3 linked regions of the Oryzias latipes genome follow. The protein of the gene in region 2 purifies or fractionates together with the protein of the main gene of each other region. This does not show direct contact. Links are inferred from orthologs where the notes say so. Each region holds a gene or a part of one and is shown on either strand. Other genes may lie near its edges. The genes, in order: protein argonaute-1, dicer1 and prkra.

Region 1 (4,414 bases), on a different chromosome or scaffold from region 2:
AAAAGTATCTCACGAGATAGAAGCCATTTTTTATGTATTTTTTTCTTTTTAAAGCAAATTTTTCTAAGTTTAGAGGGTCTTCTATCGAAAGGTTTTTGGGGGGCTGCTTAAATGGGTGCTAGTAGTGACTCCTGTCTAAGAGGGCCCCACTGCCGTAACCTCTGGGTCCCCAGAGAGCAGCCGTCCACCATCACAACAAAGACCCCAGCTGCCCTGCTCCTCCATCTTACACACAGAAATACACGGGTGTATGGCAGAGGGAGCGCCCCTGCTACGATGAACGCACTCATACACACAAACACGGGGGGCCCCCCTCTACATTCCCAGCCTCACCATGGAGACACCACGGCAACACAGAATTGTCATGGATATCAGGGGACTTGTGTGTGTCTGCATGAGTAGAACTGTAGGAGGAGATGGGAGGAGGCAGGGGTGCTGCTGCGGTCATGCTGAAGACCTTGGCCTCTTTGCTCCAACGCATCACGTTCCCACATCAGGCAGAGGCGCCAAAGCGTCTTAAACCGGAGTTTGGAATAATCGGATCAATACGTTTATGTGGCCACCAAGCTTTAACTCAAGAAAACTCCTGCAAAACACAGAAAGCTGCTCTCCGCTCAAAGTGTGGATCCTCCTCTGGTGTGGACTCACACATCTGACAAAAACAGTAAACACAGACACCGGACATGTGGTGACCATGCTGACTCTTCTAGGTGCAAGAAAGCATGTGCACGCGCAAACGTGCGTGTGCCGGGACTGTCGCACACTCACACACACACACAATGACGCAGACTTCCCCCTTGTGCCAGTGAAGGCAGATGGTGAAGAGCAGAGCCAGGGCTTTCACATATCACAAGCACAATAGCAGTTTCTTTTGGGGTAGTGCAACTTAAATATTACAATATAAAGACACTCCCTGCTGCTTTTTAAACCACCTAGCAAAAAAAAAAGACCCAGACATGAAGAAATACCTTCTAGATTTAAAAGTAACATAGCGTAAATGTTTTTAAATACTTTTTTTCAATACTTTGAATTAAAGAAAATCTTTAGTTTTAAACTTAATTTCTAAAAGATGACCCTATCACCTCCAGATCATCATATTATATATAAATGTTACTTTTAAATCTTTATGATTAAAAATCTCAAAATAAAAAATAGCAACTGATGCTGTTAGGATGGAAAGTCCTGTCCACCTATCAACACTTTAGCTCAAAAGATCTGATTTGGCAATCAACCGTGTGGTAAACATGTCTAATCGGTTTCAGGAAAATGCCACACAACTGTCACACTTCAAACACAAAAGCAGACTTTGAAATAAAGGGCCCCCAGGGGCCCTCCCCCCTCCAATCACAAATAAAATAAAAACTAGTCTATTCCATTCAAAATTTAGACCAGCAGGACAATGTGATTTTAGATCGCCGGTCCTCTTGAATTAAGAAAATAAGAGCTACTCCAAGTGAAAGATAAAGTTAACAAACAAAAAAAGTTTTACAAAAGTGGAGAAAAGTAAAGCATCCAATACTTTTCCCAACTACGAGATAAGTTAAGTAAAACACAACCTTTTTTGTTCAATTCTTGCTTCTACGGCTCAGTGTTCACTAAGAAAACTGCCAATTAAAGATAAATTTGAACGAGAATTATGCAGGACGAGAGGGAGAAAGCCCATTGACATCCAGTTTACTGTAAATACACGAGCTTTTCCAAGTCCACCAGAACAAAACTACCTCCTCCTGCTAACACACACAATCTAATTACTGTTGATTTTAGTTTTCATGTAAATAATTGATCGATCTTTGCAGGTGGTAGGGTTGAGGTTGCATGCTAGGCAAATGGTGTTTAAGACATGCATGATAAAGGGGGGATGCTGTGCTGCGTGGGACCTGCGGGACTCAGCCAGCTGCTGCTGCTGCTGCTGCTGCTGCTGCTGCTGCTGCTGCTGCTGCTGCTGCTGCTGCTGCTGCTGCGGCTGCTTGAAGGCGGGATTCAGCCGCAGATTCACGTCGTTCCCATCATCCTCTCAGAGATTCCCACGACCTATCTGCCCCCGCACATGGCAGACGACACATTGTCACCACCCGGAGTCTCCTCTTAAATATTGTATTTGTTTGTTTTCTGTAATGATGGTGTGGTGCATGTAGATTGCATGAGACTCCTCTCCATGTCCACTCCATCTCAGTTTAATCTTCCCAAAACGTAGCGATGCAGAGACAGAGGCGCTAACATCAACTTACTGCATCCTCTTTCTAGGATGCCTCACTTCCCCAAATGCAATCTGTGTATACAGTCATGACTCAAACATTTGGACTGATTGCAATAATAAGAAAAAGACTTACCAGCGCCAGACGGTCCCGGCTCCATGATCCCATTCACTTAGCCGCAACGGTGCAAGCTAGCTAATCCTGGGTGCTGTGGCCAAACCGCCGGCCCCTTCAGGTTGGAAGTGTTTCAGACTTCCAGCCCCCTCCTGTCGGTGTTGAGTCGTCCCCTTTCTCGGTGTACTCCCGCCCCCTACCTCCCCAGCCGACCCCCCCCCCCCCCAGACCCGCAGAGAGGGGTTGAGGCTAACGCGACAGTAGCAGGCAGTTGCTGCTTTGCCCGTTGACCCTGAATCTGCTACGGCAGCGCTGGAACGCCTTGATTCTGATCGCTATTACTCCGGCGTGATTCCGCCGTGGACGGTGGATTTGCCGATGGTCCACGCAGCTGGGATTTCTTACTTAGTGTGTTCTCCAACTCAACGTTCAAGCAGGGTTCTCCAGCGGAACAAAAAGGGCCAGTACCTCAACCCCCCCAAAAATCTTAAACTTCTTCTTTGTCACCAAAAAAAGTCCAAACAAACTGTTGACAAACTTAATGTCAACCTCTAGTGGTGAAAGGCGGAACTGCACCCCATATTTTGAAGAGACAAAATTGAGGATTCACAGAAAAAGCTTTTTTATCATTCATAAAATCAATCCATACACAAAATGTGAGGGAAACTATTAACTATATTTTTTAGCTTTATGTGAGGGTCAAATGTGTTTCTAAGTCTGAAAAGTTGACAAAATTAAACATTTAGCACATTGAAGCACTCTTTTTCACTTAAGTCTAATGGCATTCAATTGAGTGATTCCCTGACACATTTCAACATCAATCCAAATAAATAAGCAACACATAACAACGTGTTTTATCAATGGCAAAAAGTCCCAAAACATGAACTGTACAAGAATAGAATTTACAATGAAAACCGTGAAACTTAGCAAACCCCTAAGCAGATTTATCAAAAGTGTCAAAGGTTGGGAGTCTGCGACATGCAGGAGAGGCTTGATTTTGCTGAGATGTTTCCAAATGTCAGCCGAAAAATGACATGTGTTGTGTATTAGGATGAGACTGGGTTGTCTGATGGGGAAAAAATAGAATAGAAATTAATTGAATTGAACCTTTTTCCCCACAAGGGGTAAATTACCTTGTTACTCTCGCTATATTAAAAACAGCAGATAGATAATAAAAAACATTAAAATTACCCTTCAAAAATATTGACATCAATAATTATTATCCAGCCTCTATGAGGCTTCGTAGATATATGTGAAATCTCTGTGTGTGTTTTTGTTCATTTATTTTTGTACAGACTTCTCGTATAAGCATGTACTTTTTTTGCTTCTTCAAAATACCTTGAGTTTCATTTATCTCTCCAGACATAAACCCAGATATTTATTTATTACCTATTCAAAGTAGAAAGAAAAAAAACCTTAGCAAAACCAACTTTTATTTTTGCTTTTAGTCTGAAAGTAGACAGCTTAATCATAACATTCGTAATGCATTTCTGTTCTATCTCAGAATAGTTGCACTTCTGTGAATGCGCATTTCTAGTTATTCACTTGTGTTTCTTGACCATTGCTCTCGTTTTGGCGGTTATTTTGCAACCTCTGACATCGCAAAGCGATTGGACAAAGAGTAGGAGAACTCGCTGTTTTAAATAGGCGAAGATACATCGATATACATAGTTTTTATTTGATTCTTTAAAATACATATAATTCGAAACCCGTGTAATTTTCTTGTGTGTTTAGAACAAACAACGGCGCGCAATTAAATGCTCAATGTGCGTGATTTGAAAATCCGAGGATGCACGTGCAACAGGAAGTCGTCATGACGCATTTACGGCACGTAGTTCCTGTGCGGAAGTGGTCGTCATCGTAAAAGCTATGAGTTGGAAGCTGTGAAATATGAGAAAACAACTTGTTCTTCTATGGTCTGAATGAAAAACGCGGCTTCCGTTGAGAGTGAGTTCCTGTTGGAGGATTTTGAGTTGTTTTTTATTTACTTAAATAACCATTTAGCAGTTAATTCATTGCATGATGTGTCGCGAGCCCTGTTGGCAGTTGACGTTGAAACCCACTACTAGTAGTACTAGCTTAGCTGCTGCTTGTGAAATGTAATA
Region 2 (3,645 bases):
CTGGGTGGGCCAGCATGCAGCGGGGTGGGATCTTCAGCCAGCCGTAGCTCAGGTCTGCAGCCGACGTCCTGCTGCTTGGGGCTTTGGATGCCCTGCTTGTCCCAGGCTCAGACGGCAACACCTGCAGTCGACAGAAACACAAAACACGTTTTACGGGAAGTCCAAACACGCTAGATCTTCAACTGACAGAGATTTTAGAGAAAATGTAGGACAAACGATTTCACGCAGTGTTGGGATGCTGACTGACCTTGAGGCCAAGGGAGCAGAGGAACATCTGAGCGGCCCTCTCTCCACAGCTGGTCAGGTAGCATCCCAGCAGAGCTTCTACACAGTCTGCGATGCTTTTATCAGCGATGCACTGCTCCGTATGCAGGTCATAGGAGATGGACTGCTTGCCAAGCTCGGTGCCACAGTTTTCTTCAGACGGGTTCCAGAAACCCACCACAAAATCGTCCTCCTCCCCAGCCTTGCTGGGGTCCAGGTAGCACATGGCGTCCCAGGAGCTGTAGTCAAACTCCTCTGCCGACATCCCGGTGGGCGCAGGATCGCTAGGGAACTGGGCTGGATGGGAGGGCTTTTTGGGAACCTTCCAGTCATACGAGGATTCCAAGCAGGAGCCCGAGGCCGGGCTGAGCGAATGGGGGAAGCTGCTCAGAGAGATCTTCTTACCGAAGGCGCCCGATCCCAGCAGCATGTTATCAATAAAGCGGATGTGCTCCTTGTAGTACTCCAGGTCATCCTCCATGTTCACTTCATCTTTTGGCTCTTCTTTCAGCATCAACTCGTCCAGCTCCTCGGCGGTGTCATCCTCATCGTCATCGTCATCAAAGTCATTCCCAGTCCTCCCATTGGTCAGAAGCTCCTCTTTGGACTTAAATATAGGAAGGAAAAAGACGACAGTGAATCTAATGGACCTCCATTAGTGTAGTTAAACGTGGTCACTGTTTCCTGTTTATTCCGTATGAATTTGCTGGTTATAAAGTTCTTTTTCTTGATGGTGCAATAGCCAAACATTTTTCTTGCTTTTTCTGACAAATTAAACACTGAACTGATGGTGTGATGAATCACTAACTTGTTTATTTGTATTTTGGGAGGTAAATAAACAACATTAATAAAACTGATTCTCAAAGGTTCAACCTGATCTTTTTCTGATACAGACAAAAAAAAACTCATTTTTAAAATTTTATTATTTCAGATTAACCGTTTCCTCTATAATTATAGATTTATCCTCCCAAGTTTTTATTTTTATTTTGAAATAAACAGGAAGCTTCTCTTCTAGAACAGAATTTTCCAGAGATTATGATCACAGCCTATTTGCTTTAGGAGCAAAGACATCAAAAAAGGGGGAAGCCTGCCCTCTACTGGACCTACAGCATCACAACTGCACGAAGAAGGAGAAATACGAAACGCTTCCCAAACCTGCAGGAAGTAGAAAATCAACAGCACCAACCTCTGAGTCCACTTTGTCAGTGCTGCTCTTGTCCTGGTTGACCACATATCCAGGGGGCAGCCAGTTAACAGGGGGGTCAAAAATGGACACCACCATCCTGCTTGGCAGCCCTTTCTTCTTGCCCAGACGGTACAGGTTACAGTTGCTCACCTGGAGGTCAGGTTGGGAATCAGGGCAGCTTCAGTGAGGTTTTTGTTGGCAAAAGTAAAACATCCTGACATAGCTTGGACTTTGTGATTGTAGGAAAACACAGAAAGCTCATTGGGAAAGCTCTGAGCAGGAATTGTGCCGCTCACCTTCTTGCTCCTCATGTAGCTGAGCCGTCCTTCATGGGCGTCAGGATAGGTGCAGAACAGGTATGTGGTGATGGCATGCTTCAGAAACGAATCTCCCAGCATCTCCAGCCGCTCCAGGTTGAAGCCGTCACTGGCATTGGACAGAGTCAGGGCCTGCAGTATGAGACCTGGGTTGGGCCCCAGGTTCTTGGGGGAGTCTCCCACGGTGGAGCCCTGCTGGTGCTCGTTGGTTGAGTCCGATGAAGGTGCTGTAGGGCTTCTGGGAGCTGTGGCCGAAAGCTCGCAGCCTGAGGTAGTTTCAGGTGTATGGTGCGAGGTCCTTGCAGGCATACATTCACTGCTGGGCTGTGGAGAAATGGAGCTGGAAGGAGCCCGCGCAGGAGCTGAGGTAGACACTTGTTCGGATTCAGCGCTCTGCAGCCCAGAGCTGCTGGAGCTTAGCTGGCATTGGCAGCTGTCAGGTTGGTGAAGGTGCTCGTCTTGGGGGCCACTCTCAGCGGTGCCATTAGTTAGATTAAGAACACAGGAGCCATTTTTGGGAGCAGGGGCCAAATGTGGCTCCGGCTGGGGGGAAAGGGAGCGGCTGGGATGCGCTGAGAGGGCAGGTTCTGAGCTTCCAGCCTCCTGATGCACACAGACGCCGTCCTCGCTGCAGGACTCGGAGCAAGAACTGTAAGCTTTGTTGTCAATGGATCTTTTCCACCCGAAGTCCAAGTTTGGATATCTGACACAAAAACCGCAAAAGGCCTGAGTGCAGAAATCTCACTGCGACCTGTAAAGTCAAACATGGAACGCATGCAGCAGCTACCTGAAGTCAGGGGGGAGGGTCTGTATCCCCACTCCTGCCTCACAGGCAGTCTGGGCTCTCAGCTCCTCAGCAGTCAGCAGACAGTGGAGGCGGTACAGGATGCTGGGCAGACACACCGCTTTCCTCCACAGGGAGGCGGGGATGGGGTGGATGGCACACAGCTCCGGAACAAGGATCTGAGGAACAAAGAGTAACCAGCAGGCTCCTCAGAATCTATTTTTACCCCCCAAAAAAATGTAAAAATCCAGCAGGAACGTTACCTGCTTGTTCTGCAGACTCTCCCACTTGGCTTTCCTCTTCTCTGCGCTGCTCAGAGGCAAAGCTTTGCCCTTCTGGTTCAGGTGCCGGGGAGTCAACAAGTTCAGTCTGAGAGGATGAGACGCTGCTTTAAAGTAAAGCTTTTTATGACAAAACCATTTACTATAAACTGTCATTTACGTTTGAAAAAAAACATTATAAAACAACCAGCTTTTACACTTTCTCTCCACACTCCTAACTAGTCACATGACACAACACACTATTGCCTTCAGCTTTAACAACATTTTATTCTGAAGAGTTTTAAACTTGCAGATGTAGTATTTGCGGTGTTTTCAAATGATGACACCCCCATTTTGGCGAGAGCAACAAGCTATCTTAGTAATGTGAATATTTTAAAATCCTGAACAGTTGTTGCACCTCACAAGAGCGCAAAACATAGAGCCAATTCCCCAGAAAAGTGTGCAAAACGCTTTTATTCTGAACCAAGATGTCGTCCTCAGAAGGTTAGGATGTTGTATCAAAGTGGAGTATTTTCATGGCTCTCTCATGTATGAGATATGTACCGATCTCTCTGATTTTAGGGGTAAAATATGGTGACAATACGTGATCTGAGGGCTCATTAGCTTCACTTTGGTGTTGTACTTCCGTGGTCCCCAACCTTTTCCAGGCCACAGACTAGTTTACTGCCAGACAATATTTTCACGAACTGGTCTATACGAGGGCATGTATGACGGATACATTTATCCTCATCCACTGTAATGTATCTGCAGTTGGTTTCAACTTCATTTATCCATCAGATTTTGGGTAGTAACAAATGTGAAATAGAGGATCAT
Region 3 (4,168 bases), on a different chromosome or scaffold from region 2:
TTCTTATGGTGTCAAATCGGACGCTCGGCTTTGGATTCTAGGAAATCAAAAGACAGTGGAGAAAGAAACGTTTCCTGAAAAGCGGTGCAGAGATGTTTCTGCAGAGGACGGAGTCTCCACTGACCCATGTGACTTCTGAACATCCTGACAAACTCTGAAGCTTTGCCATCATTTTCTCTGCGGCAGCCTTCTTTGCTGCCTTTTTGGAATTCCCTGCAGCTGCAACACAAAACACAACTTTAGGAGAAAGAAAAAACTGAAACACGCAAGGATTTTTTCTTTTGTAAATGCTCATACCTTTTTCTGATAAAGACTCCAGTCTGCAGGTGACTGTAAACTCTCTGATGTGTGGGGGGCCGGTCTCCCGTAAAACTGTGTACTCAGGGAGACGCCAACCTCTCTGCAACGCCAACTCCTGCATGAAACAAAGAGGAGGAGAGAGGATTTCAACGCATACAAAAAAAATGATTGAGTTTTTAAGAAATTCATTGATATTTCTAAATGGGATTAGTAAAAACTCTTCTGTAGGTTTATCATTATGAATGTTCATAATTGCAATTATTTTAAGGCTCAAAAAACCTGATCAAATGTTCTACAATAAAAAAGGACAAAAGCAAAAAGAGACTGAGTACCTGGAGTAGTCCTACAGAATTAGGAAGATGGTTGTTTGTTTCGGCGGCGTTGCTTAGACCCGTCGCAGCAACATGTCTGTCGAGCATCAAAGATTCATCAATCATCACTTAAAATGAGTCACATTTCTGTATAAAGAATGTCTAAAACTACTTGTATATTTGGCTAAAGCAAACAAGGAAAACTTAAAGGAGATTATTTTGGACAAGCAAGAACCCAAATATGCGCCGGCTCACCAGTTCAGGTCTACTTACCCAGCTCCAGCGTCTGTGTACAGAATATTCAGAGCAGCCTCTGCAGCTTGGTGCTTCGCAGCTTTTTTACTGGGACCCTGGCCTGAAATAAAAACATATCAATCCACTTTATTCTCCAGATTTATCTCTGCACGCAACATCCTAATAAGCAGCATTTTATGAACAAGTGCATTTTATATGTACCCCTATATTGCTTATTTGAAATAAAAACAAGCGTTTTTAAAGTACGGTATATTTTTTCTCTGAAAACTATTTGACTAAAAAGCAGATGTGACCAGAATTGTTGTTTGCAGAGCTTGTGAACAAACAGCTCTCGCCGTCCCCAGACGACGTGTTTCAGCTCTTTTCACACACATTCAAAGGATTCAGATCAGGACTCAAAGTGGGTCACTTCAGAACAGTGAAGTAATTTTTTGACCGTGTGTTTTTGGTCATTGGGCTGTTGGAAGGCTGATAATCTGTGACTGTGATTAAGATTTCCAACACTACAGAACTCATGTTGCTGTATGAGATATAATCTTGATCTCGTTATTTCCTGCACAGATTTAAAGCAGAGCCGACCCAGACCATGACACTTTAGCATACCTACGCATGTGACGTCACCGACTGTCACGCTGAAGACAAAGCTGGGCTGGTGAGCCTGGCCTTCAGCCTTCTCCATCATGAACATGGGATGGTTCCCACTTTTGATCCCATACTCATGCAGGATTTGAATTGGAGTCTTCCCAGGGTTATTCCACAGAGGTTCAACTGGGTTTAGGCTGGTGAAAAACAAGTACACCAAAATATTAAAGAAGAATAGAAACTGAATCCCCAAGATAAAAATTTAGGCGTTCAGTATGACAGCAGAAAAACATTTCAACAGAATAAATGACCAACTTAACCCCTTGAGGACTACATTTATTTCCAGCTATAAAACAAATCACTTCTGTTTTAGCATCGAAGTGATTTGATGCACATTTGCATCAATGATGATGTCTCCAAAGTTGGACTGAATGCAGCAACTGTTAAAGACCCACTTCAAAACATTTGTGTTTTTGGTATTTTTAACATGTTCTTATGGGATTTTTCTGATGATGGAGGACAAATATAAAGAAAATTAAGCTTACATTTGTATTTCTGAGTATTTCTTTATACAAGTCGTTGTGAATCAGGAGCAGATGAAAAAATGCAATTGGAAAAAGAGCTTATTTGTGGTTGAGAGCCCGGCGCCGTCTCACTTCATGATCATCCAGCACATTCAGGACCGTGATGTGCTGGATCTTCATGAATCTCACTTCAATAGAAAATACCGCAATTTTATATATTTAAAAATAAATAAATAAACATGCTGAGTCTTTTGAAAGCACACCCCAAGAAAATTGATTCCTAGTTAGAGTTACCGTAATTCTTTTTAAACCTGCCAATTGCTAGGCTTAATGACTCCCGCCTATGTGACCATATAACAAAACTCGTGGGTTTTTTGTTGTTGTTTGTTTTGTTTGTTTTTTGCAATTCTCCTTTCGGCAAACAGACGCTATAAATCAAGCCTAAATGACTCATTTGGCTATTTAAAAACCCCTAAAGTCATGTAAAGAGATTTGAACTCTTACCCTTACTCTTATTATTCCAACTTTAATTTAGAGCACACAAAACCCCAAAGAATCAACGAAAAGAATCTTTCCAGAACCGTTTTTTTTTTAGCAAAAACCCATCGTACATAACTGCAGTGTTGTAAACAATATAAATGCAGTTTTCATTGGGTTGTAACAACAACAAAAAACATCTATAAACTGGTAATAACAAAGCACCAACCTCGGTTCAGCGGTAGCAGTCATCATGGCTGGTGTCTGATATCCTTCCTGAGACATTTTGAAAGGTCAGACTGACACCCGGATACTTATTGTTTTACCCTTAACTAAAACTCCAACACGATGGTTTGATGTAGAACCAGGACATTTGATCGCAGTTGGCTAAAACATAAGGGAATAATGTTTTCATTCCCTTTCCCTTTCACTCCCTACAGTTAGAGCGTCGCCGGAAGACAAAAAGAAAAGTCCGACATCAACATCCGGGTCAACGATGGGTCAATAATCCTAAACAACAAAAACATGTTAGTGCCCTCTAGTGGTGAAACCTTTTAAAAATTAAAAATAAAAAACTATTGATTGAACATAACAGAACCTCTGGACAGAACATAGAAGGAAAAAAAACGTAATTTCATCCCGATAGAATAAACACAGAACAGATATTGTACATAAATAAATAAATAAAATAAGCACAAATTTAGCAATACAAGGCTTTTTTAAGGTAATAATCGGCAGAATTGTATCTTGAATAACTTATTCAAACTGTTAAAGAATTAAAAGAAGAAAAAAAACAAATCTCGTTATGAGGGGTTTAATGGTCAACCAGATTACAAAATGTTATTTATTTTCCCATATACTTCAAATCCCATTTATTTCGAATTCTTTTGATGTGTTGTACATTTTTTCACACATAAGTGTGTTGACATGTTCTAACGCTTAACCAAAAATGTATAGAAAATGAATTTTCTTTTCAGCACTCTTTTTTTTATGCAGACTATAATAGATTTAGCAAGGCAGAAGATTTAATTACAAGAAAGTCTTTTTTTTGTTGTTTGGTAATAGGATTCCAAATGTTACATAGAGTCTGAGAACAGAGTCTTGGGTTTTAACCAGCTTTACCTGTCTAGTTTTAACTAGATTAGGATGCCTAATATAGTTTTAACTACACTAGAAAATTTGCATTTCTTCTGCTTAAACATCTTCTTCCTCTTATTTTCTCTAGTAACAAATGCACCCCATACAGTGGTTTCACAGCATATTTTTATTTGCACAGTCAAGAACATACAGTTAGGACAGGAAACATGCACCTTTTGAAAAGGATGTTTAGTGCATTAGATGGACTAACAATAAACATTCAAAAAATTAATTGTTACTGAATAAAAAGTGGAAAATTAGGATTTAACCTCAACTCATGGCATTTATCTGAAACATTTTGTAGATATTGCATAAAGAAGTAAAAAAAAAAAAACATTTAGTCTTGCATGGAGCGTTTTTATTTAAATAAAAGGCTGTCTATGTGGATTTCCCAGCAGTCATTTATCACGGTTTGTCTTCAGGGTTGTGATGTGTCCTCTGCGTCTGACTCTCACACTGATCCAAGCGCGGGAGTTCACACCCGAACTGTTGAATCGGAAGGACTCTGTGAGAGAAACACACACACACGCAGAGGTTCAGCCTTTATCCAGTAGCTAAAAATGCTTTCATTCAAGAAAGGAT

What was found.
Region 1: the proteins of dicer1 (region 2) and protein argonaute-1 purify together in Homo sapiens (co-immunoprecipitation; 7 studies listed by BioGRID and IntAct, with this or other methods). This does not show direct contact. The link is inferred for Oryzias latipes from reciprocal best matches to the Homo sapiens genes DICER1 and AGO1.
Region 3: the proteins of dicer1 (region 2) and prkra purify together in Homo sapiens (co-immunoprecipitation; 4 studies listed by BioGRID and IntAct, with this or other methods). This does not show direct contact. The link is inferred for Oryzias latipes from reciprocal best matches to the Homo sapiens genes DICER1 and PRKRA.

Annotation. Positions count from the first base shown.
Region 1 is NC_019874.2:24,542,765-24,547,178, reverse strand, and holds the start of protein argonaute-1, read right to left. Parts: upstream 2,911-4,414; 5' UTR 2,356-2,910; coding exon 2,331-2,355; intron 1-2,330.
Region 2 is NC_019880.2:4,293,057-4,296,701, forward strand, and holds part of dicer1 (endoribonuclease Dicer), read right to left. Parts: intron 2,921-3,645; coding exon 2,815-2,920; intron 2,731-2,814; coding exon 2,555-2,730; intron 2,471-2,554; coding exon 1,747-2,470; intron 1,601-1,746; coding exon 1,451-1,600; intron 872-1,450; coding exon 248-871; intron 122-247; coding exon 1-121. UniProt on the Homo sapiens protein: Double-stranded RNA (dsRNA) endoribonuclease playing a central role in short dsRNA-mediated post-transcriptional gene silencing.
Region 3 is NC_019879.2:22,833,345-22,837,512, forward strand, and holds the start of prkra (interferon-inducible double-stranded RNA-dependent protein kinase activator A), read right to left. Parts: upstream 2,931-4,168; 5' UTR 2,735-2,930; coding exon 2,679-2,734; intron 1,646-2,678; coding exon 1,470-1,645; intron 967-1,469; coding exon 885-966; intron 709-884; coding exon 633-708; intron 416-632; coding exon 298-415; intron 220-297; coding exon 125-219; intron 38-124; coding exon 1-37. Other genes in the region: protein FAM237A, read right to left, coding at 3,985-4,091. UniProt on the Homo sapiens protein: Activates EIF2AK2/PKR in the absence of double-stranded RNA (dsRNA), leading to phosphorylation of EIF2S1/EFI2-alpha and inhibition of translation and induction of apoptosis.